4 linked regions of the Struthio camelus genome follow. The protein of the gene in region 3 interacts with the protein of the main gene of each other region in a pairwise test. Links are inferred from orthologs where the notes say so. Each region holds a gene or a part of one and is shown on either strand. Other genes may lie near its edges. The genes, in order: LRRFIP2, SPG21, ATPAF2 and FSBP.

What was found.
Region 1: the proteins of ATPAF2 (region 3) and LRRFIP2 interact in binary tests that used the Homo sapiens proteins (3 or more experiments, as listed by UniProt). The two-hybrid records come from large-scale screens. The link is inferred for Struthio camelus from reciprocal best matches to the Homo sapiens genes ATPAF2 and LRRFIP2.
Region 2: the proteins of ATPAF2 (region 3) and SPG21 interact in binary tests that used the Homo sapiens proteins (3 or more experiments, as listed by UniProt). The two-hybrid records come from large-scale screens. The link is inferred for Struthio camelus from reciprocal best matches to the Homo sapiens genes ATPAF2 and SPG21.
Region 4: the proteins of ATPAF2 (region 3) and FSBP interact in binary tests that used the Homo sapiens proteins (3 or more experiments, as listed by UniProt). The two-hybrid records come from large-scale screens. The link is inferred for Struthio camelus from reciprocal best matches to the Homo sapiens genes ATPAF2 and FSBP.

Annotation. Positions count from the first base shown.
Region 1 is NC_090943.1:54,265,151-54,272,636, reverse strand, and holds the start of LRRFIP2 (leucine-rich repeat flightless-interacting protein 2), read left to right. Parts: upstream 1-4,485; 5' UTR 4,486-4,623; intron 4,624-7,486. UniProt on the Homo sapiens protein: May function as activator of the canonical Wnt signaling pathway, in association with DVL3, upstream of CTNNB1/beta-catenin.
Region 2 is NC_090953.1:4,122,594-4,130,130, reverse strand, and holds the start of SPG21 (maspardin), read right to left. Parts: upstream 3,017-7,537; 5' UTR 1,438-3,016; intron 722-1,437; exon of another isoform or gene 541-721; intron 1-540. Other genes in the region: CLPX (ATP-dependent Clp protease ATP-binding subunit clpX-like, mitochondrial), read left to right, coding at 3,397-3,466. UniProt on the Homo sapiens protein: May play a role as a negative regulatory factor in CD4-dependent T-cell activation.
Region 3 is NC_090956.1:3,742,159-3,749,228, reverse strand, and holds the start of ATPAF2 (ATP synthase mitochondrial F1 complex assembly factor 2), read right to left. Parts: upstream 3,023-7,070; 5' UTR 2,907-3,022; coding exon 2,780-2,906; exon of another isoform or gene 1,582-2,779; coding exon of another isoform or gene 1,542-1,581; exon of another isoform or gene 466-1,541; coding exon 421-465; intron 190-420; exon of another isoform or gene 165-189; coding exon of another isoform or gene 143-164; coding exon 1-142. Other genes in the region: GID4 (glucose-induced degradation protein 4 homolog), read left to right, coding at 3,403-3,627, 5,966-6,025, 7,003-7,070. UniProt on the Homo sapiens protein: Plays a role in the assembly of the F1 component of the mitochondrial ATP synthase (ATPase).
Region 4 is NC_090943.1:149,104,692-149,111,666, reverse strand, and holds the start of FSBP (fibrinogen silencer-binding protein), read right to left. Parts: upstream 3,006-6,975; 5' UTR 2,347-3,005; coding exon 1,976-2,346; intron 1-1,975. UniProt on the Homo sapiens protein: Transcriptional repressor that down-regulates the expression of the fibrinogen gamma chain. Represses transcription of GSK3B gene promoter via its interaction with APBA1.

The sequences.
Region 1 (7,486 bases), on a different chromosome or scaffold from region 3:
CACACATTTTTGCACTACTAAGGGTAAATGAGGTAAAAGGAAAGGCTGAATGAAACTCACTCCTTATGCAGTTAGTTACCTAGCTCTTCCAGAAACCATCTAGTTACATTAGCCTGGACAAGAACAGCTGTGAAATTTGCATATCCCCCACAACATACACCCGTGAGTTTAGGATGCATGTTTTTTCCTCTATTTGATAAATATGTTTTATATATGCAAAAACCTTACAAAGGAAGCCTGATAATAGTCCTTCAGAACTCCAATGAGTTCTACCAAAGATTGAAATAAGAAAGACTTTCATGGTTATGCTCAGCATACAGTCCATATGCATTCTGCCTTACAACTATTTCAAATATTCTCTTGAAGAATAAAATTGTTTCCCATCAGCTCATCCAAGTTATCCAACCTTTTGCCTCTCACTTTGAATATAACTGAAAATCAGCACTACTTTGAATAGTGCCAAGTGCTTCAATAGAGCTGGTACTGAATTTTTAAAAGTACTTTTGTCAGTGCCACAGAATTACCGATTCTTTTGCGACATCTATTAATGAAATGAATATATTTTCCAGTAGCTAAAAATATATTTTACTAGTCTAGTAACCGGATTATAAACTGGCTGGTATCTGTTAAATTTAACTCATGGTAGAAATTGTCTGATTGTTATGTTACCCCAGACCTTAAGAAGAGAAGCTTGGATCCTAACAATTTCTGAGTTTAAAAAAAGGTCCATATAAGATCACATGCAATAGGTCACTGCATAAAGGGAAGGCAGTGCACGTTCTCCTCTTTTTTTTTTTTAATCATATAAATGCTGAGACTGAAAAACATTTATTTAACATGTTAGTGGCTGTGCATCTGATGAAAGGAGCATACGTTTATGAGAAATTAAACAGTATTTGTTTTGTTTTGAAGAGCCTAAAAGGGCTTGGCAGAAGCCTCCTGTAAGTATACCCAATAACTGATTTGAAAAATTAAAAAAATAAAAGTAATTGCTCTCTGCCTTACAAAAAGTTGTTGCCCTTTGTTACAGTGCAGCCCACAAAGTTAATTTTCCACTTGTCATAGTGGAGGGTTTTAACATCCTTTTTGTGGGGTGCAGGGAACAAGCAGTTACTAACAGTGCTGGGAATCTCCTAAAGAGATCTGCTGCTGATGGAAAAAAGTGTGTGTTCAGCAGTTCCAACACTTGAGTGATGGTATCTTTACTGAGAAGATGGAAAACTACAGGAAAGGAAAGAGACAAAATGGGGAAGGAGAGAAATAAGTGCACTGAGGTAGGGAGAACTTCTTAAAATGATACATTAATCCAATCTCTCTCGATCAGTGAACCAATCTACCAGTTAAGCAAGCAGTTGGAAGCTATTCTCTGCATAAGAAGGACAAAGAGAAAGTGAGACAGGATTAGGAAGGACACAAAAGGGAAAATACATGGAATCGCATCAGGGATTAAATTAGATTATAATCCTACATGTGTACCATCACAATTGAATTCTTAGCCAGAAGCTATAATTCCATAAACAAGTAAGTAAAGCTTCACGGGAAGGTAAGAAACACCAACAAGAGGGACAAAAATAAGATATTCAAAACTTCACAAATAGTAAACATAACTCGGGAAATTTTTTAGTGAATTCTCTCTTATCAAAGTTATTTCAGTGGGAAAATCTCTTTTAAACTGTATACAAATTATTGCAGCAAGCTGACACCAGTAACTGTTATAATATTTCAAACAACTGAACTACAGATTCATCTTGGATACGCTTTTTTCAGTGATCATCACTCTAAGCAGAATTAAGATTTCACCCACTGTATGCCTCAACTGAGCAAAACAGTTTTAGAGGTGGCCTTCTAGAGAAAAGGGAGAGAGTAAATCAGCAGGTTAAATTGTGAAGATGAATTTACACTAGCCTACCGTATAATATGACAAGAGTGAAGAGAAAATATATTCAAAGGCAGTTCCAGTAGTACTTCATTTACTTTGCAGTAGTTTCAATAAGAATTTGGTCAAGGAAGAGTCATAAATCATTCTTTATATTGTAACTGCAGCCATTTCACAGCAAAAGTTCAAATGTAAATCTCATTTGCTGGCTTCTAATTAAAAGTCTATAATGAAAATTTATTTAACTTGACTGTTTAACTACTCTCATTAATGATGCTGAACTGTGAATTGCTACTGTGACATCTTGTACCACTGCCTGTGGTAACTGCACTGTGTATACACTGTACTGTGCACTGCTTTTCAGAAAAGTAAACAATTGCTCTTTCAAGCCACAAAAATGCATGTCTGCTCTCAAGGAGACATGCTTTTTGCTGCATCATTAAAGAAAAATGTGCTGCCTGTGATATCAGAAGACCAAACGTATGCAAATCCCAACGCTTCATCAGAGAAAAATGTACAAACAATTGAAAATGTTTTTCCCCTTTATTTAGCAATATATTGACAGAGAATCATCCCACACGAACCTGGGAGATCCCACATTTCAGAGGATTCGACACAAACCCTTCACACCAATATCATAAGCTCTCAAGAGGGAACGAAATATTTCTGCTACCAGCTAAAACAAACCAGAATGGCCTGAGACAAGAAGACTTTCTGCATAAACCCCAGCAGATCAGGAGGCGAGTCTTTCTGTAAGAACAAGCCTCAAATAAAAATGCAGTTCTTAAGACCGTACTTTGTTCTTGTCTTTACTGCTAATGTTCCAAGAGAACCTTTTGTGTCTGCAACTTTTTGCTGCAATGAGATCATCATCTATTACTGCAAAAATTAATGTGATGTTAAAATAAGCATGGTGTGGCTATGCTGCATGATCAAGTGAACAAGAAGGCTGAGGCAGTATGGAGTTTCTCAAACAGAAAGTTTTAAAATATTAAAGTCACGGAAGGTGTTTCATGTCTACTGTAAGAGATTTAATTCACTTGCACGTCCTTCTTTGCTTTAGGCTCATCCACTTGCACTTATTTTAGTAAAACAAGATCCGACCTCTGCCAAGGGCTCTTGGGAATATTCTTGATTCCTATGGCTAGGTCTGTCATTTCGGTCGTGCTTTTTCACTTCCATGTGGTTTCTAACATGTGAAATGCCATTTCCTCACTGATCACCTCCAGCTAAGCTCTTCTAGTCACCCTGCACCCAGGAATAGACATGTTGAAAAGTAAATGACTACAGATCTGATCCAAAGTCTGTTACAGCAGATTCTCATGAATGTTAATTAGCTCTTTGTGTTTAAGCTGGAATATATTTTATGGTATAGTTTTTCTCTTTTCCTAAGAGATTATCTTAAGAAAATGTGTTATCTTATCCTCAGGAACTTCTTTGTTGATATATAGAATTTAGTAGCACAGAAAGCCAGTAGTGTTTGGGATGTTATAAGATAAGGTGTAAACGCTTATATGGGATTTCTTCCCATAAATCCTGCCTGGCACCCATCCACGTAAGGCTTCTGACAGCCTCGCGCCGAGCGCCACATAGAAAGAGTGGCAGCAGGGCACCAAACTTCCCGGGCGGTGAAACCCCCGGGGCCGTTGTCGGGGCCCCAGCCGGGGGTGACTCTTGCTGTTCGCCTGTCAGTTTTGCGGAGGGACTTGAGGCTTCTCAGGATCTCCGCGTATTGCTCCCTGGGGAACGTCCCTTGGTACAACAAACCAGAGTTAATTTTAGAAACAAATCAAAAGGGAGGGGGGAAGCCAAAAGCGCCGCCGCGGACCTACCTCTCCCTGCCCCAGCAGTGACTCAGCCGGTCTGCCCGCTGATAAGGAGCCGGGCTGACAGGCGCCCAGGGGCGCGGCTCGGCTCGGCACCTGCCACAAGCCCCTTTGCGGGAAATCCCCGTGCTGCCTGAGCTAAAGAGGCTCCTCAGGGCACCGACACCCCCCCCCCCGGCCTCGCCGCGCAGCCCCAGCCCAACGGCAGCCTCCCCCCCCCCCCCCCGCCGGTGCCGCCACCACCCCACAACGGCCGCCGCCCGCCCGTTCCTGCGCATGCGCACGCGCCTGCCTGCCCGCCCGCCGTGCCGCCCCTTCCTGCCGGCCTGCGAACGCTGCGCTTGCGCAGTGCGCCCCGCCCACCTATGTAAGGGGGCTCGGGGCGTGGGGGGGGGGGCGAATGCACGCGTGCCGGGTGGCCTCGGCGGCGAGGGTCACGCGCCCCTCCCGTAACGGCCGCCTCGCGCCCTCTCCCCGGGGGAACCTTGCGAGCAGTTTGAAATTAACCGCTGTTTCCTACCGCGTTCGCGATGTGGCTGTAACCGCCCGGCATTGAAGGGGAGGAGGCAAGAGAGCGGGGCGGGGAGAGAAGGGCGGCCTGGAGCGGGGCGGCTCGTCTTTGCCCAAAGCCCAGGTTCCTGCCGTTCTCTCACAGGGGGAGGCGGGAGGGTGAAATAAGAAAGCGGCCGCTTTGCCAAGGCCCGCGGACGGTCCGTGCCCGGCAGCACCCCTGCTCGCCCTCGGGCTGCTCCTGCTTTCGTCCCTTGGATCTCGGGTGTAGGGAGTGAGGATAGGAAGGACCCCGAGGCGGTTGCGGGACCCACGAGCCCCTCGACACCCGAGGATAGGGGGTGGAGAGGAGAGCGAAGCAACCGCCCCTCCCTATTAGGCGTTCCGGTGCTGCAGCAGGCTGGCCCTCAGGTAAGGCTCCTTGGGGCCCGCGCACGAAGAGGGAGGGGGCGGGGGGGGGAAGGGTGTCACATGCGTACAAACCCGGACGGGGCGGGGAAGCTGGGTGGGAACCTGGTCCTTCGGGTTTGAGAAGTGGGGAGGACACGGCTCTTCAGCCGGGACTCCCTTGCCAGGTAGGTGAAGAGAAAGGGAAAGAATAAAGGCAGCAGCTTCACGCTCTCTGGCCAGTGTCAAGACTTGGTGTGGATGTAGCGGGGAAAGGCACGGCCGACCGACCGACCGACCCCTTCCGGCGTGCGGTTCCCACACTCCGGGCTCGATCCGTTTTCCCTGCTCCGCAGGCCTGCGGGAAGGTGTCATTGACACACATACACACACGCCCTTCCCGACTGTGTGTGCTCACCTCGAGGTTGAGTGGAAAAGGCAGAATGAGGGAGAGGGAGAGAAAGGAAAGTGTCCCAAAATCACGGCTGCTCGTGTTTCAGTGCCCTTTCTCTTTCATGCCTCCTCAAAGCATATTACCGCTTCTTCAGTGTTTCCGAAAGTGGCAGGGCGTACTCCCTCAGCCAAGGGTTATGGGAAGGTTCAGGCAGGCTTTCTGCTTCTTTTTTAGCTGGGCTTTTTTGGTTTCAAATCACACTTACTCTGTGTGTGTGTGTGTTTTTTTTTTTTTTTCTTAATATGCTCTGCTGTTATAATTGCAAAGAAAATATTGTGATATTATCTGATCTCAAAAGAGATCAGTGCCTTCCTGAGTTTGGAAGAAGCCTGAAAACATAGCTCTGGGCTGTGATCTGCCTCATACATTTGAGGGTTGCCAGTTTAGATCCTAAGATGATACTTTCACCAATAACAAAAACGTGTTACAATGAATCTGTATAACCTATTCAGCGACTCCCTCATTCTGGAGAGACCTCTAACTATCTTAGGCTTGAAATGAGGAAGAAGGTGTATGATCAATTTTATTGCTTCAAAGTGACAATTTTATCTTCCAACATCTTTGGAGATCTTGTGGCCTTTTTTTTTTTTTTTTTTTTTGTAGTTTTCCTGTAAGATCAAATCAATGCTTGTCTTGTGAGTTCTTTAAACTTTCATTGCGTCTTTGCTGGCAACTATTTAAATATATGACCTTTGGGGCCCAGAAATAGATAGCTTTTTAATACATGCCTGCTTCCCTAGTTAATGTAATTGCTTAGTGATGATGTGAGACTAGACGGAAGGTGCTCTAGCAATATGAAATACTATTTGACAGACATGACATGCTGTACCTAATGTTTGTGTTACTTGGGCTTAGAAATGTTTACCTTAGAGTGTGAAGTCAGTTTTACCTGAACTGAGCTGTCTCTACCTGAGAACTTGTGAATATAGGAAAGTTTTGTGAAATGTGTGAGGTGTAAGTTTGTTGCCCTTAAATGTCAGTAACTTTTATGAAATGACTCCAAGGGAAAGAGCTCATTTGCATTGCAACTCTTATTACACAGATGACAGTATTTTAACATATGCAAATTTTAGAAAGCACAGTTTAAATTGGAATCCAAGTCATAGGGCTTTGTGTATGACATGTTACACTTTTATATAGAAAACAAACCAGACTTTCATATAGTTAGTGTGAAAATTGTAGCGCCAATATATCAAATGGAAAAAAAAAAAAAAAACCTCTAGAATAGTGTAACATATATATACCTCCAATAGATAATGCTAGCAGAGAATGAGAAACCAGTACCTAAGAGGTTTGATACTGACTATGTTGTTGGCTGTATTTGTAAAATCCTGGTGTGAAGTGGTGTGGTGATACTTACAGGGCTGTACAGTTCAGTAGTATGTGCTAGTGAGAGAGAGCTTTCTGAGAAAATAATCAGGTTTATTATCTTGACTTATCTGGATACTAAGTAACGTGTAATTGTACACAATGGACAGATGGTTTGTTTATGTACTCTTACATATCCTACAAAGTTTTTAATGTATCGTGCAAAATGTTTTATGTAAATATTACTGTGTGGTTTTGAAGGTGATAAAATTCATTATTATTATTTTTATTGTGTAGTCATGTATCATTAGAGCTACTGCAAAAGGAGAGGTGAAGGAGCACCACCCATAGAGGCCAAATGGGAACAAATATTTCTAAGCCTACTGGCTGCTATCTCAGTAGAGAGTTAGAGTTATGTCAGTTGATGAAGCAGCAGCAGGTGGAAAAAGCTCTAAGGGATACCCAGGCAAAATTGCCCTGCTTGATGCTGTAGTGTTTCTTCACTGTACTGAACTGTAGCAATAGTAAAAAAAAAAGGGTGTAGGCGTTTTCTAAATAGGAAATTGTTAATGGAAAAATATCTTAAATAGTTGCAACTTGTTACTGAATGTGGGCTGTTACCATGGGGCTCTTTGTTTGTTTAATTCATTAAAAAAACAGAGCCTCAATATAGTAGCAGTATGTTTTTTTTAATGAGTAATAGATCTTTCTTTTGCAAAATGACACAAGGATACTCATTTTGAAAAAGCTGACAGTGTAAAAATGCTGTCTGCTTCATTTTAGAATAAACACTTAAACAGGATTCTTCTGACTTTGTTTTTTATTATGCATTCCCACCACTGGTGCTGATTATTAATGTTGCCATTTCCTCATATTTTAAAATCACAGTTGATTTCTTAGTCTGTTTCTGGAACTTCAGCACTACAGGAGCACTGATTACAGAAACGTCCAGCTGTGCTATACCACTTCTCTGAAACCTACATATGCTTCACGTTGTGCCCTGAGCTATCCTTTGTGAATGGCCATTATGAGAGCTTTACAGATATTTCTCATCTCTGGTGATTATATCCTGTACCTAACACTTTATCATAATGTGAAGTAATAGTATCTGCAAGTGCAGCTGTT
Region 2 (7,537 bases), on a different chromosome or scaffold from region 3:
CCTCCTGGAGCCCCTCCAGCCCCTCAGGAACCCCCCCCAGAGCCCCCCTCGACCCAACAGCCCACCCCAGAGCCCCCCTCAGAGACCCCCCCCTAAGCCCGACAGCCCACTCGGATCCCCCCTCAGCCCCCCAGGGACCCGCCCCTCAGCCCCTTGGGGAGCCCCCCTCAGCCCCACTCCCCCCCCCCAAGAGTCCCCCTCAGCCCCTTGGGGAGCCCCCCTCAGCCCCACTCCCCCCCCCCAAGAGTCCCCCTCAGCCCCTTGGGGAGCCCCTCTCAGCCCCACTCCCCCCCCCAAGAGTCCCCCACAGCCCCTTAGGGACCCCCCTCAGCCCCTTCCCGGAGCCCCTCTCAGCACCTTAGGGACCCCCCCCCTCAGCCCCACACCCCCCCCGAGCCCCTCTCAGCCCTTCGAGCCCCCCTCAGCCCCACACTCCCCCCCCCAGAGCTCCCTCAGCCCCCCCGACACCACCTCGAGCCCCCCCCGGTCCCTCACAGCCCACTCAGCCCCGAGCAGGGAGGCTCCGAAGAGAGGGACAGCCTGGCTCCCGCGACGACGAGCCCCCACCTTCACGGCCCGCTGCGCCCTTACCGGCTCCGCGGGACCCCCGGTACCGGCGGGGAGGGGGGGGGGGGGTGCCGGGGCCTGGCTCTCCCGCTCCGCCTCCCCCGGCGCACCCCAGCGGCGGCGCCCGCCGCTACTTCCGGGTGCGGCGTCACGCGCCACGTGACGGCGGGGAGGCGCAAGGGCGGGGCGGAAGACGGCCAGCTGCCATAGCTGCCGAGGCGGAAGAAGCGGGCCGAGGCGCCATTGTTATCGAGGCAGAAGGGAGGGTCACGTGATCCCTCCTGCGGGGGGCCGGTGGGGGAAGCCGCCATGGCCGTCGAGGGAGCCGCCGCGTCCGCTCCCCCGCCCCGGCCCCGCCGTTGTGCCGCTCCGCCCTGCTTGGCAGAGGGCTACGTGCCAAGGGTTGCTGCCATCCAGTGGAGGCGATTTAATTTAATTTGACTTATTTTTTTAAATATATGTGAGAAATCCCATTGATTTAAGTAAAAGTACCAGTGAGTGAAAAGGTCTGTTTTCAACTCAGGGTCTTACTTTAACCGAGCCTGTTTTACCCAGCTCCCTGGTGCGGTTGTTAACGGGGTGCTCGTTCCTCCAATGCAAAACCCGGACCTTTGGGTCGGCTGGGCCCGTTCAAACAAAACGTGTTTTGGAACAGCTAAATTCAAGGTTATGGCCGAGACGGGGCCGTGACCCTCGGTGAGCCCTCGGGGCCCTGGCGGGGAGCAACCCCGTGGAGGCAGCTGCGGCTGAAGCCAGGGCGACCCTGGGTGAAAAAAAGATTTTTTTTGTTGTTTTTTTTTTTTTTAGGTAAAAGGGGGAAAACGTCCAGGGGACCAGCTCTCACGCCTGCCGTGGGAGGGGGCGCTTTACCTTCGGCGTTGCCGTTTGGCCAAAAGACGTCGGGTTCAAATAATCGGTGGAAGGGAGTTGCGTGCGGTTGCGTCAGGTGGCGCGACCGCGCTGCCTGCCGCTCGCGGCAAAGAGGCTCCTGCAGCTAAAGCTGAGGAAATCGTCAGTTCGACTCCTGTTTCATCAGCAGCGTTTTACCGGTTTGTTTTCAGCACGCCGTTCCCGTTTGAGAGGAAGCTCCGGGGCTGACTGAGATAACCAGCCTGCTGCTGTCGGCCACCCGAACGCACGAGGCAGCCGGTGACAAACCTTGGTTCACAGCAGCACGCAAACCCCTGTCCAAGACGACGCTGTTGCTCTCTCCAGGCTTTCGTAATTTGTGATTGCAGGATAAATAACTTTTATCGATGCCTTTCAGTACGTCCTTCCAATCTGCTATTCCTCTCTGATTCTCTCCAAAAAAAAAAAAAAAGTTCCCGAAAGGAATCGGTGGTGGATTGAATACAGATTAAAGTGGGGTTGGCGGTTGCCTGGCAGTAGGTGGTGCTGGCTGCAGGTGGTGCTGTTAAACCTGTACTTCGCAAGGATTAAAATCCATCCAGACCTTGGCAGAAATGAAAAATGGCATTCGATATTCATACTGTTACACGCAGGCAAGCAGTACAGAGTGTAATCTCCGCTGTTAGCGTGGTCTAATGGCGTTCGCTGTGCGGCAGCTCAGGTTTGTAGGCGAGACCATCAGGTAATGCATTCTCATCTCTGAGCTGTTACTCAGAAAGGCAGCTGGGATCAATGAGCTGCACTTGATCAGTGTGTGGCAGATGAAAGCTGAAGGAGGGCGGAAAGACAGAAACACCCACAGGTCCCTGCCAGCGGCAGGCGCGTTGTCTAAAGGATGCGTTTTCGTTGCTTGGCTTCTACGCGTTTTTGTGATCGCTGATCTGACTGGAGATCACCCCAGGACAGGAGGCTTCGTTTTCATCTTTCTGCCAAAGTTGTTCTAATTTGCCTCGTGTTTTCCGTTGCTGTTTCAAGTTTGCTGCTTGTGAAAGGCTGTTTTTATTATTTTGGAGGTCGATGGGAAGTGTTTCCCGCATACTACCTTGTGTTTAAAATCTGGAAGCAGATAATAAATGTTTCACGTTTGAGAAGTTCCCCTCCTCCCAGCAGACGCGTGTTCAGTCCCCGCCGGGCGGGTTTTCACCGGGCTTTGCGTCTCCCAAATCCTGCCTCGGGAGTTGCACGTGCGGAGGAGTCGGCCTTCGCTTTGAACGTTTCCCTGGAGCAACGCAGGGCGAGAGCTGCGCAGCGAGTGCGGGGGCTTGCTGAGGTCTCCGATTAATTTTTGTTCTCCTGATGAGCCGTACCGGTCTACGAGCGCTTTAGGAATTAAGGATAACGCGGCCTGGAGCGTGGCCTTTATGTCCTCCTACGGGGGAGTCCGAGGCTATACAGATATGGGAATAACGCTGCGTAGAAACGAACGCACGTCACAGCTGCTGGGAAGAAAATCTGGAATTTTGGAGTTAGAGGCAGGAATCTCCTGACGTTTGTGTGCGGGAGGCGAGGCCGCCGCCGCGCCCCGCGGCCGCACGCCTGGACTACACTTCCCGTGATGCACTTTGCCGGCGCATGCTCAGAGCTCCCTGACCCGCGGGACTGCATCTCCCAGGAGGCAGCGCGCGGCGGCTGGGGCGGTGGCGGGCGAGGCGCCGCGCGCGCTGCCTGCTGGGAGCGGTAGTCGGCGAAGGGATGGGAGGGGCGCGGTGAAGCCAGCCCGGCCCTGGCGTCAGTGTAGGCGGTGCCGGGCGGTGGAGGAGGAGGGCAGGGGAGGGGGTGTTTACGGCGGGGGCGCGCGCGCGCGCGCAGTGCCGCCGCCGCTACCGAGGCCTAGTCGGCGGCGCCAGGCGCGGTGCGGGGGGGGGCGGGGGGGGGAGCGGGCCGGGCCGGGCCCGTTGCCGCCGCCGCCGCCGCCGCGCCATGTCCGCCTGCCACAGCTGCGCCGCGGCCGCGCGCCTCCTGGGCTCCACGCTGCCCTCCGCGCGCAGAGGTAACCGCCCTCCGCGCGGGCCTGGCGGCCGTTGGGCCGGGGGAGGGGGAGGAGGGGGGGTGTCGCCTTCCCGCCGCCTCCCTGAGGGGAGGCCGCGTCGCTGTCACCGCCGCGGGGCCTGCGGCCGCCGCTCCCCCCAGCGCCGGGCCGGGCCGCCGTGAGGGCCCCCGCCGCCCTCCCCTCCTGCTTGCGTTTGTTTTATTTTCCCAGCCGCGGGTGGCGAAGGTGGGGGTCCCGCGGCTTGGACGCCTTTACCCCGCTGGCGTTCGCCGGGGTGGCGAAAAGAGGGTTTCGCGGAAAGGGGGCGATTTGCAGCGCTGATTGCGCAATGCTGCTTGTGCCTTTAAATGCGCTTTATTAACCGACTGGTACAAATCCTGTGCTTCTTGCAGCTTGGGGTGTTCCTCGTGAGGGCTCGTGCTCAGCTAGCGAAACATAACTGTTTTCCGAGTTATTAAGAAAGTGGCGCGGGGCAAAATAGTTACTGGAGGCTGCAGTGGAGGGGGAATGTTACTTTTTCTTGGTTTTGCGTCTTTTCGGGATGTTCTTGTCCGTCTTAAGTGCGAGATACTCTATGCTGCTTTGACTGAAAGGCAAACAGTCCTCAGACTGTGCTGAAAATCTCTGCTGCTGCCACATTTCCAGCATTTCTTTTTTTTTTTTTGAAAAATGATACTCTCAGCCATAGCTGAATGAGTCAGAGAAGACTCTTTAACTTCGTGAGGTAAGTTAACTCATTGCAGTTGTGTTCGCAGCCACATCTCCAGCATGACCCGTGCTGACAGGGTTAAGCCAGTACTTCCAACTCCAGCCTGCCTGGCCTCGTGCAAACCCACTGAAACAATAAACTTTAAAACAGATAACGTTCTGGATTTGCTTCAGAATTGTTATTTTTATAAAGATAACAATCAATATTTTTCTTTTGTCAAAACTGGCACGTAAAAGGGCAAATGAGACTAAAACGCAGGTATAGAATAGTAAAATTATTTATGCATCAACTTTCTATGAAAGTTTTTTAAAATCTTATTTTGGTGGTTGTCACTGTATCTGCTGTGCCAGGTAGTTAAGTTTGGTATTACTCTGAGGTTGACTGTAGTTAGTACAAACTTGAGAGTATGCAGGGTGTATGGATTGGCCTACTAGATAGGGTGTTTTCTGGGACAGAGATGAGACTTTTGTTGTCAGTCTCCCTGTGAGTACCTTAGGTGGTAGGCTCTTTAAAAATATTTGAGGACTTGACCCAAAAGTTGGTATTTCTTATGGTATTCATCTGTGAACTAAAAAATAATAAAGTGTAAAGGAGTCTCCAACTATTTCATAACCTGCTCCTCTGAACACCCCAGAGAGGTGCTGTTGCTGCTGTCAATATTCATATGTTTGGTGCTCGCTCTTTAGATTTACTGTTTTCATTTGTTTGTGTTTGGGAAAAATTTGCTTTCCATTAAAAAATAAAACAAAAAAAGACCTAACCGTCAGTGGTATATCTGAGAGTATTGCTGTGCCAGCCAGTTGTTACATGTTTGAATGTTTATCAGAGTATCTGTGGAAATCGCTAGGCGTTGGACTGGAATGTTGATTGTTTTTGACAATTTGTTTCTATGCTTGTTTGTGTTTATGGAAGTAAGTAGTTGTGATAACTTTATTCCTATTTCATTATTTAATTGTACAGTGACGTTTTGTCAAAAATATCATTCAGACCTGTAGATGGGCTAAACATGGAAAGTCTTGTCCCTGTGCGTCAAGCTGATAGGAAAAAAATTATGTTACTGTTATGTTTAGCCTATTTACAGCCTTCACAATTCAGTGTGACTGGCAAGGTAAGTTTAACATTATACCCTAATGGCCGACCAACTAAGACCATCGTGAGAGAAAGAGGAGCATGTGTTTTTTAAAGAAAGTTATCATGCTCAAATTGTTCTTTCAACAGTAGGCTCCTACCAGGCTCGCAGTGGGTGTAATGGTGCTGATTGGGCAACATCTGCTGCTAACACCGAAGCTGCAGTCCCACAGCTGCGATGTCTCTGGTCGTAGATTGGCATAGCAGGAAATGTGGCACGTATCAGCTCAGCGCTTGACACTTTGTGTATTGCTTCATAGTTTATTCAGTATAGTTTAATGTGTCTTTTCTGTGTCACAATGGCACTCTGATTTAAAACTGATGATCTTTAGTCCTTTTGCGGTGTTTGGTGGTAAAATGTTTGACCAGTCTCTGCATTGGTATTTGGGCCTTTCTCCCTAGGCAGTTCTCTGGGGTGAGAAGCTATTGCAGGAGAGTTGTATGCAGCTAGGTTTTTTGGTCGTCGAGGGAGGAGGGGGTCTTTTGGTTTTGTGTGTGTTTTGGAGGGGTTTCTTGTTTTGTTTTATTAATAGCTGTTAGGTGATAAACGCTCAGCCCAGTTTATTCTCTACTGAAAGGTACACTTAGCACTCTTGATTTTCAGAGTTCTCTGTGCATATTCAGTCAAAAGGACACAACTGACTTAAACTCTCTTCTGTTGCTGTAACTAATCCCTATTCTGCTTGTGAAAGTGAACCAATATTTTTCTATTTAACTGAGGGTATTTAGCAATTTGTATATATTTTCATAGTTTTGTCCCGTGGAGCGTGAGGTGTTTTTCTGTGTTGCAGTGACACGCAGCAGATCTTTAGTCCTCCTTCAGTGTTTTACAGACATAAATAACGCTATTATAATTTTAATAAATTGTATTTTTAGTGCTAAGAATATCTTAAAATCACCTTTAATTTCAAATATCTTAGGTAGCATATATTTTGATAAAACAAATTTCATTTGATTCAGTGTTCTTGGTTGTAAGTTTGTGGAGGTCTACAGAAGTTTTCCCTGTAAAATTAGGCTGGCCCTTAATGCTTTTTTTCCCTATATTTTTCTATTCTTGCATTATAGTAATATAATACAGTATAATTAAGAGGAACTTTAAGTCTCCCTCTTTTCTTTAAGATTCCAAGTCTTAATTGTAATTCAAAAGAGTTTCAGTTAAGTTATTAAAAAATTTTTTTTATTATTTTTACAAATGTTTTACAGAGCATTGGCTTAGCTCTTTGGAGAATTGTCTGCTTAGCCTTCAGATTATTTGGATAACAAAGTTGCATATACGTTTTATTAATGTAGGGTTATGATAAAAAACATTAATTTGAAAATATGTTAAAATTGATGGTGCTTAATAAATGATGAATTGAGTTAAATCAATGTTATGAGGAGTTAGTTCTGGTCATTTTATAGCTTTCTCAGAGCAAATGGACTGTACTTCATTTTCCATTCATATAGATTGCATTTTATTTTAGAAAACATTTTCATCTTCTGTTAACAAAAAAAAAAAGAGAGAATTTTTTTTTTTTTAATAGAGTAGAAAACGTGAATTAGGGTTAAGGTTATGATGTTGCTATATAGCTTTTCCCATTGATAACAGTCACAGAATTATTACCAGATATGTAGAGGAATTGCCTAGTTTAAGCAGAAGAGAAATTTAAGATCTGGATTCCAGATGTTTATTTCTTTGTGTTGAAAGATTCTGAAATCATGGGCATGAAAATGATAAAGGTTGGTTTGTGTCATGCCTAGTCATGAAATATAACCTTACAAGTTGTTGCAAAAGGAGGAAAGGATCATTCAGTTCCCCAATGAATTTTTTTCATGTTGGAGTTAAGCTATTTCAACAAAATTAAGATTGTATTAAATTAATCTGTCTGTCTATAAAAGGTCAGCATATGCCAAATGAAAAATCCAAATCTGCATATGTGGTCCACGGTCTCCGAGACACTTCTATGAAAATGTTTGTATAATGAGGAGACACTTTGAAAGTCTGTCTTTTTTACTTTTCAAATATGTGCTAGAGGCTATTGTGTTCTGAGGACCAGCTTCATGAATGGGATGTGGTTTGTTTGTGATGCAATGGAACTCTGAACTGCCTGAAGTTAGAAGACAAGGGATACTTCTGGGTCATTTGTAGATTATCCAAGCAATTGTTAATGTGGTAAACATTAAGGTGATTACATGCACTTATTTTTGAATAACTGAAATTTGATTATTCAAAGTTGAATTCTGTTGCTGAAACC
Region 3 (7,070 bases):
TGCATAGTGTAGAACTTGATGGTGTCCTTCTGGGAGTCCCACTCTGTTGCCACTGCAATAGCCAAGGCCTCGCTGGGAACAGTGAAGAGCTTCGCCTGGGGCGTTTTCAGCTTCCGGTGGTCCAGGTTTATTTCAAAGCCTCCTGGAGAATCAGAGTAGAAATCCTGGGGAATTAAAGAGGAGCATGCCCTAAGGAACAACAGACAACCCCACAGAGGGAGCAGATTCAGAGCTGGAATCCAGCCACATGGTTTAGCTAGAAATGAGGAAAGGACAAAGCAGGCTGGTGACAAATATCCCACTCATATGACACGGGTTGCAGGTGTGCCACTGTCTTGCTAAGGAAGCAGTGATAACCCCCTCCCCAGGGACCAACACCTCCTCCCAGTCCTTCCTTCCTCTCCCAGTGGCCACGCTTACCTTCTCCTTGCGAGATGCTAACGTTCTGGTAAAACCGCTTCCTTTCTGGGGGCAAAAACAAGAGCCATTCAAAGGGCAGTCAGAGCAAAGTTCAGTCCCCTCCCCTGATTCCCACTACAGCTTAAAACAGATGGAGCCCTCGGTGGTGTCGAGGCCCAGATGGCCTGGCCTCTTGTCACAAGGTCTCGCTCGTTCATCCACACCCTGAGCCTGGGGGCCTGCAGGGAGCCTCTCGCCAGAAGAGGACCAGGCAACCCCCTAGCCACTGCCTGTGCCCAGGCAAAAGAGCCTCTCCCCAGTCTAGTTCTGCACATGGTGGGGGGAGGGGGGGAGAAGTCCTGGCCTCAAGAGTTTTGTTGGGGGAAGGAGGGAGGGAGAAAAATATGGCACTGCCATAGACTGCACTCTGAAGTGTTTTTTGCAGACAGCTTCCAAGCACCACATCATTTCAGTGAGCTCCTCTCCACTGGGGAAGCATCATGAAACCGGTGGGAGTGTTGCTGTGCACAACCAGCAAGTGAATGGGCCCAGCTTTTCTTTGCTTCTGCCACCCAGGGCTGGGATCTCAGCTCCATTCCAACTCACCCTCAGCAGGTTTCTACAGAGTCTGGCAGGGGAGGTTTCTAAAGCGGACCTATCTTGTCATTCCTCCCCAGTCCATATGGAGTTTCACTCTGGGCTCAGTCTTTCAAAATTCCCTGATTACAATCATGTTTGACAAATTAATTTCCTGGACTGCCTTGGCTAACTCCCTCTCCCAGCTTGTTCCAATTCAGAGTGACAAGAAACCCAGCAGAACTGAATCACAAGGCAGGGCAGGCCCCAGCAGTGTCCCTTGCCACCCCTGCCAACTCCAAACCCACACAGTTCCAGCCCACGCAATCTCCTGCAGTGAATTTAGCTCATTCTCTGCTTTGACCCGCCACCTGCAGCTGATGCACCACATGGAGGGATGCGGCTGTCTGCATCAGCAAAAACTACAGCTCCCAGCACGCTCAGAGAGCATGGGGCAAGATACTGCACCCCACCGGGGGTTTTGGCACAGCTCCCTCTACCACGGTCACCCACAGGAGTGGGTTTGTTACAGGAGCTACATGCAATCAGCAGTCCCCATCTCTCACCTTGGATGACATCCTGCAGGAGAGTAGCCTGCAATGTCATAGCAGCTGGATCATGCTGGGGACATCATGCACATTGCAGCATACAAATGAGTCACCAGGGGAGGAACCACTCCCTCGGCTCCCTCCAGCCTACGCATCCCACGCTGGCAGCTCCTGCTCTGCTCAGGAGAAAGCCTGCTCTACCAGCAAGGTGAATCTGAGGGAATTACAACTGTTTTACAAGCAGCCTCCTTTCGTAGCAATACTGTTGCGTACACTCCCAGCAGACATCTGAGAGCCTGGACTGCATGGGAATGGATGTTTCACAGGTTCATCTCTCACTCAAAGCAGGAAGAATCTGCAAACCATTCCCCGGACAAGAGCAACAGGACCATAAATCCTGAATCCCTAAATCTATACCTCCTGAACAGTAATGCAAACAGGTTGAGCTGCAGGTCTGTTTTCTGTGCCACTCCATACGAGCACGTTCCCACACCTCTACAGAGCACCAGTGAAACAGAAGAGGATCTGCTCAGGCTGACCCAACTCTAGTTTCATGGCCTCAAAAAATGCCAAATTATTAGGGCACAGTTTTGAAAAGATTCACATACACGTACCGAAGAGAAGACATTTCACTGAGATGCCAAAGAGCCCCAGGATATATGTCCTGAAAACCTGCAGCCTCCTCTCATAGGCAACAAAACTAATGTTACCGTCCTCATATCTACACCTTTCCAGCAAGACCTGCAGAGGTGACTCACAGCCCAATGTGTGCCTGAACCACACCTGGAGTGCTCCCCCCCCCCCCCCAACAAAGTCTTAACACCCACCAAAACCACAATAGCAACCATAACAAACCAATACACCAAGGGCTTAGCCCTGCTGTCAGTGACAGCCCTGCTGAAGCCAGGGCATAGGAGCAGGGGGAGGCCCGGCGTGTGGGGCCCTGTCACCTCAGCACCTAAAAAGGCTTAAGGAGCCCCAGACCCGGCGAGGGGTGTGCTTGAACGCTCGTTAGCCTCCTCGCGGAGAGTTTTATCGCTTTCCATCTGTTTGACTCGTCCTGCTGGCGAGGGCTCCGGGGTGACCTTGAGGGAAGTCGCCCTCCAGGGCCCGGGGAGGGGGGGGGAAGGGGGTCCCATCGGGAGGACCCCCTCCCCCCCGCAGCGGAGGAGGGAACGGGCTCTCCCAAACAGAGGGGCCCGCCAGACCCCCCAAGAGGGAGCCCCGAAGCCCCCGAGGGGCCCGTCCGCCCTCACCTGCCGGCGGGGCGTAGGCCCGGCCCCCGCCCGGCCCCACCGCAGCCCCACCGGCGGCAGGAGGCGGGCCGGGGCGCCGGGCCGGCGAGCAGCGCCCGGGCAGCAGCCGCCGGCAGCCGCGCCACATCGCGGCGAGAGGAGGCGGGAGGCACTCAACGGCCGTGCGGCGCTCGCCGGGAACCGCGGAGCAGTCGCCGCCGCTGTCGCCACCGTCCGCCTCAGCGCGGCTCCGCGGGCGCCGCCATGCTGCCCGCCGCGGGAGCCAATCCGCACCGCGAACGCGTTTTGCCCCTTCGGCCGCCCCGTCCTGCGGGGAGACGGCGGAGGGAGGGAGGAAAACTACACTTCCCAGGAGCGCCCGCGGCCGCGCCTGCTGGGAGAGGGGCACGTGCCCCGCGCCGGCGGCCAATAGCGGCTCGGCGCCGCCCCTCCCGCAGCACCCGCGAGGGCCAATGGGAGCGCGCGGAGGCGCTGCCGGGAGGCCCTGAGCCAGGCAGGAGCGGCGGCCTCGGCGGCGGCGGCGCAGCGTGAGGGGCGGGCGGGAGGAGGGGGGGGGGCGACCGGGCCGGCGCCCCCGGCCGCGCGCAGCCCCGGCCACGCTGGCGCCCGGGGACCCGCCCGAGATGCCGGTGCGGAGCGAGCGGTGCCGCGCGGGCGGGGCAGCGGCGGCGGCGGCGGGTTCGGCCTCGTCGCCGTCGTCCGGGGCGGCCGCCAGCAGCCTGGTGCCGCCGCCCCCCATCAACACGGCGCAGCCCGGCGTGGCCACCTCGCTGCTCTACAGCGGCGCCAAGTTCCGCGGGCAGCAGCGCAGCAAGGGTAACGCCTACGAGGTGGAGGTGGTCATGCAGGTGAGGGGCCGGCCGGCCTCCCTTCCCCTGCCCCGGGCCTGGCCGGGCCTGCGAGCGGCCCCCAACCGCCGGGGGACCCCGTCCCTCCGGCCCGGGGCCGCCTCCCTGCTCCCTTCCCCCTCGGGCCCCGGCGAGGGGCCGCTACCCTCAGGCCTGGCCTCCTGCTTTGCCCCGTTGCGCTCAGCTCGGGCTCCCCTCGCCTCCCCCCTTTTGTCCCATTACCCTCAGGCCTGTTTCTCCTCTCTCCCCCCCTCTTTGGCCCTGTTACCCTCAGGCCTGTTTCTTCCCCCCCTCCCCCTTTTTGCCCTGTTACCCTCAGGGCCTGTTTCTTCTCCCTCCCCCTCTTTGGCCCTGTTACCCTCAGGGCCTGTTTCTTCTCCCCTCCCCCTCTTTGGCCCTGTTACCCTCAGGCCTGTTTCTTCCCCCCCTCCCCCTTTTTGCCCTGTTACCCTCAGGCCTGTTTCTTCTGCTCCACCTCCCACCACTGTGGCCTCATTTTCCTTGGGTCTGTTCGCTTCACTCCCTTGCCCTATTGCCCTCAGCTCTGCTGAGGTCTGTGATCCTGGATGTCTCCCCCATTGCCCTCAAGCCCTGGGCTGGCCCTGCTCCCCTGGGCCCCAGGGAGGATAGGCAAAAGGCTGGCTTAAAGTGGGTGGTGTCCCAAGGAGTCAATACCAGCGAGGCAGCCTGTATTTCAGGCCTGGCTGGAAAGCAGTAGGGATCCAGGTCCTGGCTAGCAGAGCAGGGCTCTGCTGGACCTGAGATCCCAAGGATCCCTCCTTGTGGTGCCCTATGCTTCCCCAGGATCCCAGGCTGAGCAGGGAGCCTGAGGCAAAGCACAGTGGTTTGTTTCTAGTGGGAACGTGCCTGGACCCAGGTGTGCTGGGGAATCAGGGCACTGGCTGGTATAGCTTTCCCTTTCCTTTTTGCGGTCTTGGTCTCCTCCTGTGCTTTAATTTTAGTCCTAGACATTGGTATGATTGCTTAAGGTAGAGCTGGCGAGGTGTGGGGTTACTAATAAATAGGCAAGCCAGACATATGGTGCACGCTTTCCTATAAAGTGCTCTGCAGGTCACGGCTTTGTTCCCAACTTGGTGGCATAGGATCTGTGGGACCCTGGCAGCTTGTAACAAGTGCAGTGATAAAGACTGATGCATGGGTCAGTGTTGTGGAGTAACGTGAGAGTCCCAAGGTCAACAGATGGGGTAGCATTTTATCCATACTGTCTCTTTTCACATATGGTCCCCCGCTTGTCAACAGCACAAGTGTCCCTGGTGCAGCTTGCTCTTGTAGAGACATCCCATGGCTGATCAGCTTCACTGCACGCTGCCTTGTTCCAGAGACTGGCTATAGCTTTGTGCTAAAATTGCTACTGTTTTGCGCGTGTCAGCTGAGAAGAGGTGGCTATCTGCTCTTCCCCTGCTGAGTACAGGAAAATGTTGCTTCTCTTTGATCACAGGTGGGGAAGATCCATCTTCTTATAGCTGATGTATACACTTCCCAAAATAGCTCAGTTCTTGCTTTGAAAACTCATCTGGAGATGTTGGGGGGGAAAAACTTGGAAAGTCTTCTTACTTTAAAGGCATTCAGAATAGAAGCAGCCCCCTACCTAGTTTCTGCATAGCAGAAGAGGCAAGATGCAGCCAAGTAACTCAAAGAAGGGTGACATGAAAGCGTTAGATCTGGGAGAAGGGCCTCTTCAAAACACACGAGACATCTGTTTTGAACAGGCTTTGGTGTGTGACGGGGCACACCAGTCCTGGGTACTAGGCTGAGCGTACAGACTAGCGTGTTAGAGAGGAGGTGGCTCAGGCCTGTTAAATAGGTGGACTGGAAAGTTCAGGGTGATGCTTTCTTCCTCTAGCCTGAATTGTCTTGGGTAAAAATATGCTTTTTGCCCTTCCCCCTCTTGGTTGCTGGTTTGGCTGGGGTAGGTGAGGGCTGGGTGTGTTAGAGATTCTGCCAGTGATACTCTCTCCCTTTGAGAAAACTGGGAGTCAAGTTCCTTCTTGGTAGAGAAGGGGGATTTACTCCCTCTGGAGACCTCCAGACAGAAGATGCTGCCTCAGTTTGAAGAAGCTGAAAGTGGGTGAGGTGTCGTCAGGCCTGGGACGTGGAGGCTGTCAGAAGTGAGCTGGGCACTTCTAAAAGGATCTGTCCAAGTTGTTTCCAGCCTTGGGAAAGGGGATGTCAGTGTGAACATTGTGCAGTAAGCTGGACAGTCAGTACCAGTTTAAGCAGAATTGAGTGTTGGAGGACCACAGGTTTAGAAACTGTTTTGGATCCATTGGGTGCCTTCATGCACATGCTTATGTTAGGACTTTGCACTCTCTTCTAGCATGTGGATATGGAAAACTCCTATCTCTGTGGATACTTGAAGATTAAAGGCCTTACAGAGGTGAGTGTTTATTGCAAAACCATAAGAAAAGGTGTTGTTTAAAGGCTTTCCTTTTTCCTGGTAGGGGGAGAAGTTGCCACCAGAAATAGAGGATGGAGGGATCAAGTATACGGTAAATTTGACCACTAGGTAGTCTAATAGCTTCAATCTGTTGTTCTTGGAGTGTAAAGCTAGTATCAGGGGCCTCGCTGGGAGTCCTGAGAGAATGCAGGAGGCTTATCTGGTGTCTCTTGAGCTCTGAGTGGAACAGGAATCTGACCTTGAAGTCAGCTTTAGATACTCTACCAGTGGTGGTGTGTTGCTAAAAGAAAATAAAACAAACAAGTCAGATCTTTAAGTCCTTCCTTCCATGCCCATCCACTAAGATCTCCTTATGGTGTTGGACATTGTGAGCATTATCTTATGCGGGTTCTCATACTGACTGTCTTTCCAAGTCCAGACTCTCTCAGCTGCAGTGCACTATGTGTCTGCACAGACAGTTACCGGTAAGTGCTTGGAGAAGTTAGCTTCCCTCAACTGAGCCTGGTATTCCTGTGTGCAAACCCCTAATTCATTGCAAATGCAAAGCTAAAGAGCTTACTCGGGGCACCTTCTCTTCCTCTTTGAGGTGGCTTAATCTAGCCTTTGTACTTTGTGTTTGTAGCAAACACACGGCTAGCTGTCATGTTTCAGCTCAGGAGCAGTGCTACCTCCAAATGGTCACTTCTGATCGTCCAGACGAGTTTCCCAGCTGTCCAGCTCTAACATGGCTCCCTCTAATTTTATGAAGTGAAGGGGGTGGGGGGCGTGTGAAAAGACGACTGGAGTAAAAGGGTGGAGGGTGTGCGTGTACGAGTCAGATTTTAAAAGGTGTACCAGCCTCAGATTGCCTCAAGGTCTTGCTGCGAGATGCTGATTTTTTGCTCAGTCTGTGCACCTTTATCTGTGTGAGTTTAGGTGACATCTTAACTCTCTCTTCTGTCTCTCCACTTTCCTAGGAGTACCCAACCCTCACCACTTTCTTTGAAGGGGAAATAATCAGTAAAAAGCACCCTTTCCTAACGCG
Region 4 (6,975 bases), on a different chromosome or scaffold from region 3:
AGAAGGAATTGAGAAACAAAAGAAACTCCTGTATGGTGGTTACAAATGTTGTTTCTGACAGCTTGACTGAAAGACAGACAAACAACAGTTACCACAATTGGGGGATGGTATTTATAACCCCAGAGACACCCATGATTCACTAGGTTTCATTTAATCACAGTAAGCCAGAAATCACTTAAAGGTGCGATGAAGAATTTGGATTCATAAGTCGTACTTCCCTCCAAAAACCTAAGCCATGCTTTAGTGAGTTAAAGTCTAATATACTGCTCAAAATCAGGGGAAAATGTAACTCAGAGTTAAGATTAAAACTATAAAAGTAATGATATATTTGGGCAGAAAACAAAATATTTAAATGATATTCCATTTCTTCAGCACATACTGTATTGGTTGATCCTAGGAAAAAACACTTTGGGTGAGCAGTAATCAAGTCAATGCTCCTAGAGCCACAACGGACTGCAAAAAATGTTTAAATTATAGGAGACAAACTATGGAGATCATTAGCTCTCAACCATTCATAAAAAGCGTCACTGCTTTTCATGAGCCTATCTACAAACCTAAGTTCTCATACAACTTTTTTTTTTTCCCCCCTCCTCTTCCCTCTTCCTTACAAAAAAGTTGGTAGCCAAGACACTGCAACCTTTATTAGCGCAATTAAAAGCCCTGTTTTGTTCCAGAGTCTCCTTTGGAGCTGCTCCTCCAAGGGCATTCACCAGCAGCACAGCCCAGTTGCCTCAGCCTTCTTTACGCCAGGACCCACAACAGCATATTTTTAGAGCATCTGGCACATTGGGATTTAGACAATTGTTAGCATTCAGTTCAACCAGTGGCACCATGAATCAAATTCATCCTGCATGCGCATGCCAGCTTCTCTTAAGAGTGCTTAGCTGTTGCACCAGCTATCAGTATATCTGATTAAAATACGGCAAGTTCACTTCCATTAATCTGCTAGTGAAAATAATAAAAAAATCAGAGCTTTCTCAAGATTGCTGTGAGGTGGTTTGAATTTCCCTCCCTCCTCCCCATCTTAGTTTTTGCATCTGGTGGAACCAAAACCTGACCCAGGCATTTTTTGATCCCTCCAGGACCCATACAGAACCAGCAGAGTGTTGCAAGTCAGAGCTGAGGGGCATTAGCCAGCTGTGTGAGAAAGCCTGCATGCTGCCTGCTTGTATTATGTCTGGCTCAAATCTAGACAGTGTGTCTCACTTTACTGAGCAGTTAAAAAAAAAAAAAAACCTACAAAAAAAAGGAAACTTCTGCTGCTGTACCTCTCAGTTTCTCTCTTTATTTAAGCTATCTAATACACAATACAGAAGTACTTGGAGTTTAGACTGCAATTAGCTTTGCTCCAGTTTCAGAGAATGACCGTCAGTGCAAGAAAAGTATAATTTAAAAATACATTTGCACTCACAAAGACACTGTGGTGTAGGGATTCAATTTTTTCTTTAAGGATTAGGATCAGTTAAAATATAATATGCAAACATCACAGTAAATGAGATAAAAAAGGTATAGGAACAAGGCTTCTTAATTCTATGAACTAACTTTATTAAACATCTTATATAAACTAGTAATTGTTCCATATGCTGCAAAATGACTGCAGTATTACCTTAAATGGAGGAGAATAGCCACCACTTTGCCAGTGTTTGAATAATCTGCCTATTAAAAGGTAGGGGAGGGGTAGAGCTACTATTTCTCTTTGATTCCCTCTTAACCCTCACTTTCCAGAGTATGACAAAGACTCTGAAACAGGCTTTGAACCAGAGCTGAAAAATGAATGCAGTGCTAAGTCACCATAAAGCTTACCATAAAAACAAAAGAAATACTATTTTGTCATTGCTCCCAATTTTGGGGTGTTCTCTTGTAAGCCTTTTCTTTAGGACACTGAACACAAGTTAAGAAAAGCCTTACAGAGTAGGTAGGAGGCGCCATAATTTTCATTCAGCAAAAAAAAAAAAAAAAAAAAAAATTATCTCACCTTTGTGAAATGCTCCTTTCTCTTAAACACACATTGGAAATCTGTGGAATCATCTCCACAACTTTCTTGGTTGGCTCGGAAATGCTGCTTTTATAGTCTGAATAAGTCTCCTTTTGCTGCAATAGCTCCTGTTTGGCATATTCTTTGAGCCTCTTGTACAGCGTGCGCAGGCCCTGTGCAGTGCGAGGAGGGCGATCTACTCCGATGGCATTGTAGTTATCAGCTATGATATCCCAGCATTTGTTTTTTTCCACTATTACGGAATGCTTATTGGTATGCTCTTCAAGAATTTGAACATACGGCTTCACGAGTTTTAGCAAATCAAGCTTTTCAGATAAGGTAAAATTAGAAGATCTGGCCTTCCCAACCATTGTTATCTTTGAATTAAGGAAGCAGTTCCTGAAGCCACCATGCAGTCCCTAGCTCTGCTCAGCTCTTTTTCACAAACAGAAAAAGATCAGGCTTAACTAGGCTAGTCTCATTTAGGCCCACGCCTACAAGGGAGGGTTTATTAAAATTCCTTCAGCTTAAGCTGACGCAGGTTCAGGAAATCTGCTTAAGCCAAGCCTGACCTACATAAGGCTTCAGACTGAAGACGACGAGAAGAAACAAGCAAAATACACTTTTGTATGAAGAGCCCAGACATACATAGGATTTAAAAACATAAAGGTTTAAAGATTAGCACATTACCCAGCTAAAAATTACCTAATTTAGCTTGAGTAACAAGCTCTGACACATATCTCCAGCTCCCTCACACATATCTCGAACCGAAACTGCACTCGGGATTCTGCCTGTACCGATGGCCAAAAACTGCCACAATTGTTTGGGGAAAACGTGTAGACTCCTAACCGAGCAGGAGGAGGAAGGAAAAACTACAGGGCGATAAGCATGGCGTGCGTAGAGAGATCCCTAACAGAGCCCCTGGTCGCGGCTCCCTCGCTGCTGCTCGCTTACAGCATTTGCATAATGCTGGTCCTGCTGTCAATCAGGCAGCGCATATCCTCTAGCTAGTTAGGTTACACTCGGGCTCGGGCTTCGCAGCAAAGCTAAGCTTCTCCTCCATTTCGCAGCCTGCTCCCGCTACCTACACAGAGGCTTCTTAAAGAGGCAGCTTCTACTCACGGCCAAGCGTTTGGCTAAAGCAAAAAAAAAAAAAAAAAAAAAAAAAAAAGCAAACAAAAACCCCCCAAACACCACAGCACGAGCACTGAATCAGCTTTTTATTGTAACTTCAGCCTGCAGCTGTGCCCTGCTATAACACGCCTGCCTTTTAATGCATGTGTCATCGCCAGTCAGGCCGCAGTGACTGAGAAATGGCATGAGCTAACTCTCGGGCTACATGTAATAAAGGTTACATTCAGTCATGACAGATTTATGGAGTGCATTATAGTGTGTGGATACTGGGATTTTCATAATATCCACCAGGAAACAATCTACTTTTATGATAACACTTCCAGGCATTCCTTCCAGATAAAATCTGATTTTTAGTAACAAGATGTGCACGCTATGTTCATGCATTTCTAATGTTTGCTCAAAAATACATCACCTTAAGCCGAGTTTTAACACAGAAAGGCATACAAGGCTTTAAATACCCGTGGTCTAAACTAAATCAACAAATCTCAGAAACAGAAGAACTTGCAGAGATAAGAAAAGGTGCTCACAAATACACAAAGCAAAAACTAAGTCTGAAAAATTATGTACATCATTGAAAGAGTCCAGAGGGTGCAAACAAACACAATTTGAGATAGTGGCGATGGCTTCTCAAGCTTAACATGTTCAGCCTTGAAACCAAGGGAGCCTGGGGCGGGGGTGGGGGGGGAGGAGGGGGGGAGGGGTCACACAAAAGAGAAATCTAATTATAGTTTGAAATATCTTAAGGCAATAAAGATCTAGGTATGAACTTGTTTGCTCAAAGGGGAACAAACCCAAAGCAGACACAAGTCATATTCAAACCAAGAAATTCAACTAAACAAAGGGAGACTTTAACTGCTAAAGTCAATTCCCATTTAGAATACCAGCATGCTTTAAACAATTTCTGAAACTTGGCTTGTCCATACCACCTAACAAAATTTGCCCAGTCTGCTTTGCTGGAATTGCTTTCAAGTCGAGATTAAATAAAGCATGTTATAGTCTGAAGTCCATTTCAATAGAACTGAAGAAACAAAATACTCATGTGGTGTGACAGCACGCTTCTCCCCTCCACCGCCCATGTGCTGTTCTCCCCCCTCAGCCTAAACATCACCTCCTCATAAACAGCACCTGGACAGGGGCTAACTGAGCACCATTTAGAATGCAAATATGACAATGAGTCAATCATCTTACCCCCATAGAGAGGGGGTGGTCCAGAGCCCATTGAGCTCTCCTGCGTGGCAGTGGGCTGCACTGCAGAACCTCCTCTTGAGCAGGGACGCCTCTCAAGGTTACTCCTTGAGGTCCAGAGATTCCTTACCAGCAATAGATCCTCTGTAAGTGACACTGATAGCATGCTAAAACTTTGAAACTTTGTTAAGTTACCTCTCTGATTGATTGTACACACAAACCTTAAGCACAAAGCTTAGACTAAGTCTTGGTCTCCCTGACATCTACTTGGCAAATTTTGCTGTGTATATAATCCTTAGATATAAACCGTTGACCAAGTCTGGGACTAGGATTGGATCCATCTGGAGGGTCCATTCTGAACCTCATGACTCAACGGGAAGGCCTCCTTGCCGCTTGCTTTGCGGACCTTGCTAAGTCGTATCTCTGATTGCCCATGCACATAAACCTTAGATATAAACTGCTGACCAAGTCTGGGACTAGGACTGGATCCCTTGGGTCCATTCTGAACCTCACGACTCAACGGGAGGGTCTCCTTGACACTGTCGCCTGACCCTGTCCTCCACGCAGTAAATAACTTTAGTGAACCTTGCCATTTGACCCTTGTTAAGTCGCTATCTTATTCACAATTGTACTCTGTTAAATCAATAAAACATTGTTGCTTCTCTGTACCAAGTGAAGTGCCTCACTCCCCACTCCATCCACGACATGTGGTTAGAAGCACTTTATGAAAACCACTGCATTTAATCACCCTGCCCTCCCTTTATCCCCACACACTTCTCTCTTTACTAACATTAAGGGTAGAATAGGCTTTTTTTTTTTCCTAACAATCATTTTAAAAATTGACGCGTTCTTCAGCAGCTGCAACAGAAAATTAGAATATGCCTCACATTTTAACCTGTTGGCAGTATCAGAACTAAGGAGTCACAAAAAAGTTTACACTGCACCCTCTGATGTTTAAGCAGTTGTGCAGTACCCAATCTCTTGACATTTTAGTGATGGAAAAAAAGTTAATCTCAAGCTGTGTGAGGAAAGGCTCCTCTGCGCAACCACAAAGCAGCACCGCCAAACAGGCGGTGACAGGCTGGGAACCTCACCAACCCCAACCAAAGGAGCAGAGGCCCCTGCCCCAGCTGCTGCCTGGGCTGTCGCAGAAACACCATAGGCCCCATGGACTGGGATGAAGCCCAGCAAGAGGAGTCACTGGGAGAAGCTCTCCGGATCACCTTATACAGCCTGATGGACGTACGTCCATCAGGACGTACGTCCAGAGACCAGAGGGGTCTGACAGTTGGCTACTGTAGGGACCAGGACATCCAAGCCAGTTACTAGAGAGACTGTGAGGCCTGGAGGTTGCCTGCTGGTAAGGTCATAAGTCTGGACCAGTTACCAGAAAGACCCATTACAGGTTTGTATCTGTGCGTGAGGCAACCAGGAGACCAGGGGATCCAGGGGCCAGCTACTGTGTAGAATAAGTGTCTAACAGCAGTTGCTGGAGGAATCCATAGCATATATATAATTTTCCACAAACAGGCTTTCATCCTGATCAGCCATAGAGAGGAAAGGATGAGGCCCTGGTGCTGTTTGTGTTTGCGGGAGTGCTGTGGTTTCTGTGTTAGTCTATTGGGCCAGCCATGTGTATATGTATATATGTATCGTGCGTATGTGTGCCTATTGGGAACATATTCTCATCCTTGCTGCAGGCTGGACCTGGCAACATGGAACTGTAGCCACGTTGTCTCTATTGGGCTACCAGGTGCAGGAACTCCTAATATACACCTACCTGAAGTTGTGTTATTTTATCACCTTACTGCTTAATGTTGCTAGAGAGACCAAGTTTCCACACTAATGCAATTTTAGCAATATGCCACTACAATGATTTGTTCTGAGCAAGTGCCTGAAGGAATCAGAGTTTGAATTACTATTGTTCCGCAGGAGTGTAAAATAACCCTCGTAAAAATGAAGCTGGCTGCCAACCAAGATTTTTTCTTTTTGCTCTTAAAAATCACTGCTCATCAGCCTAAGGTCATGTCAGTACTTGGATGAGAAATCACAGAAGGTGAAAAGCCTGGATTTTAATGAACATTTAAGACTTCTTTCAGCCAAAACAATAGGTGTAATTCCAAGAAAACTACAAAACAAAACCCACAAACCAAAACTGTTGCCACAGTCCCTCCTATACCTTCCACCAACACACTGCCAAACCAGGCAGTCCTCTCCTACCACCCTTCTCTGACACGTTCCTGCTCCCTTCACCGTGCTGATATTAGCACTTTAAAAGCTTCCGAGCAAGTCAGACCAGGGAACTGATTTGTCTGCAAATTAATCGTTTTTCTAAGCCGGGTGAGTTTTAAGCAGCATCAGTCCCCCGATCCAGTATGCCACAGGACAAAGAACCAGCACAAAAGAAATACATATAGCATCCAAAGAAGCTTTTTCAATCTGGATGATTTTAGGGATATGTTTTATAATACAGCCCTACATACACTTACACTTGTACTGACATCACCGAGGGAACAGCAACCCATAGCTGATGGGGAGGAAATTCTCATCACTGCTGAAGAAAATACTTGTACCTACACTCTTACACATCACTTCATTTTGCCTTCTATACCTCCTGCTTCAGTCCTATGAACAAGGCACAGCTCATTTTTCTTTCATACCTTCAGAGCGAAATTCACTAA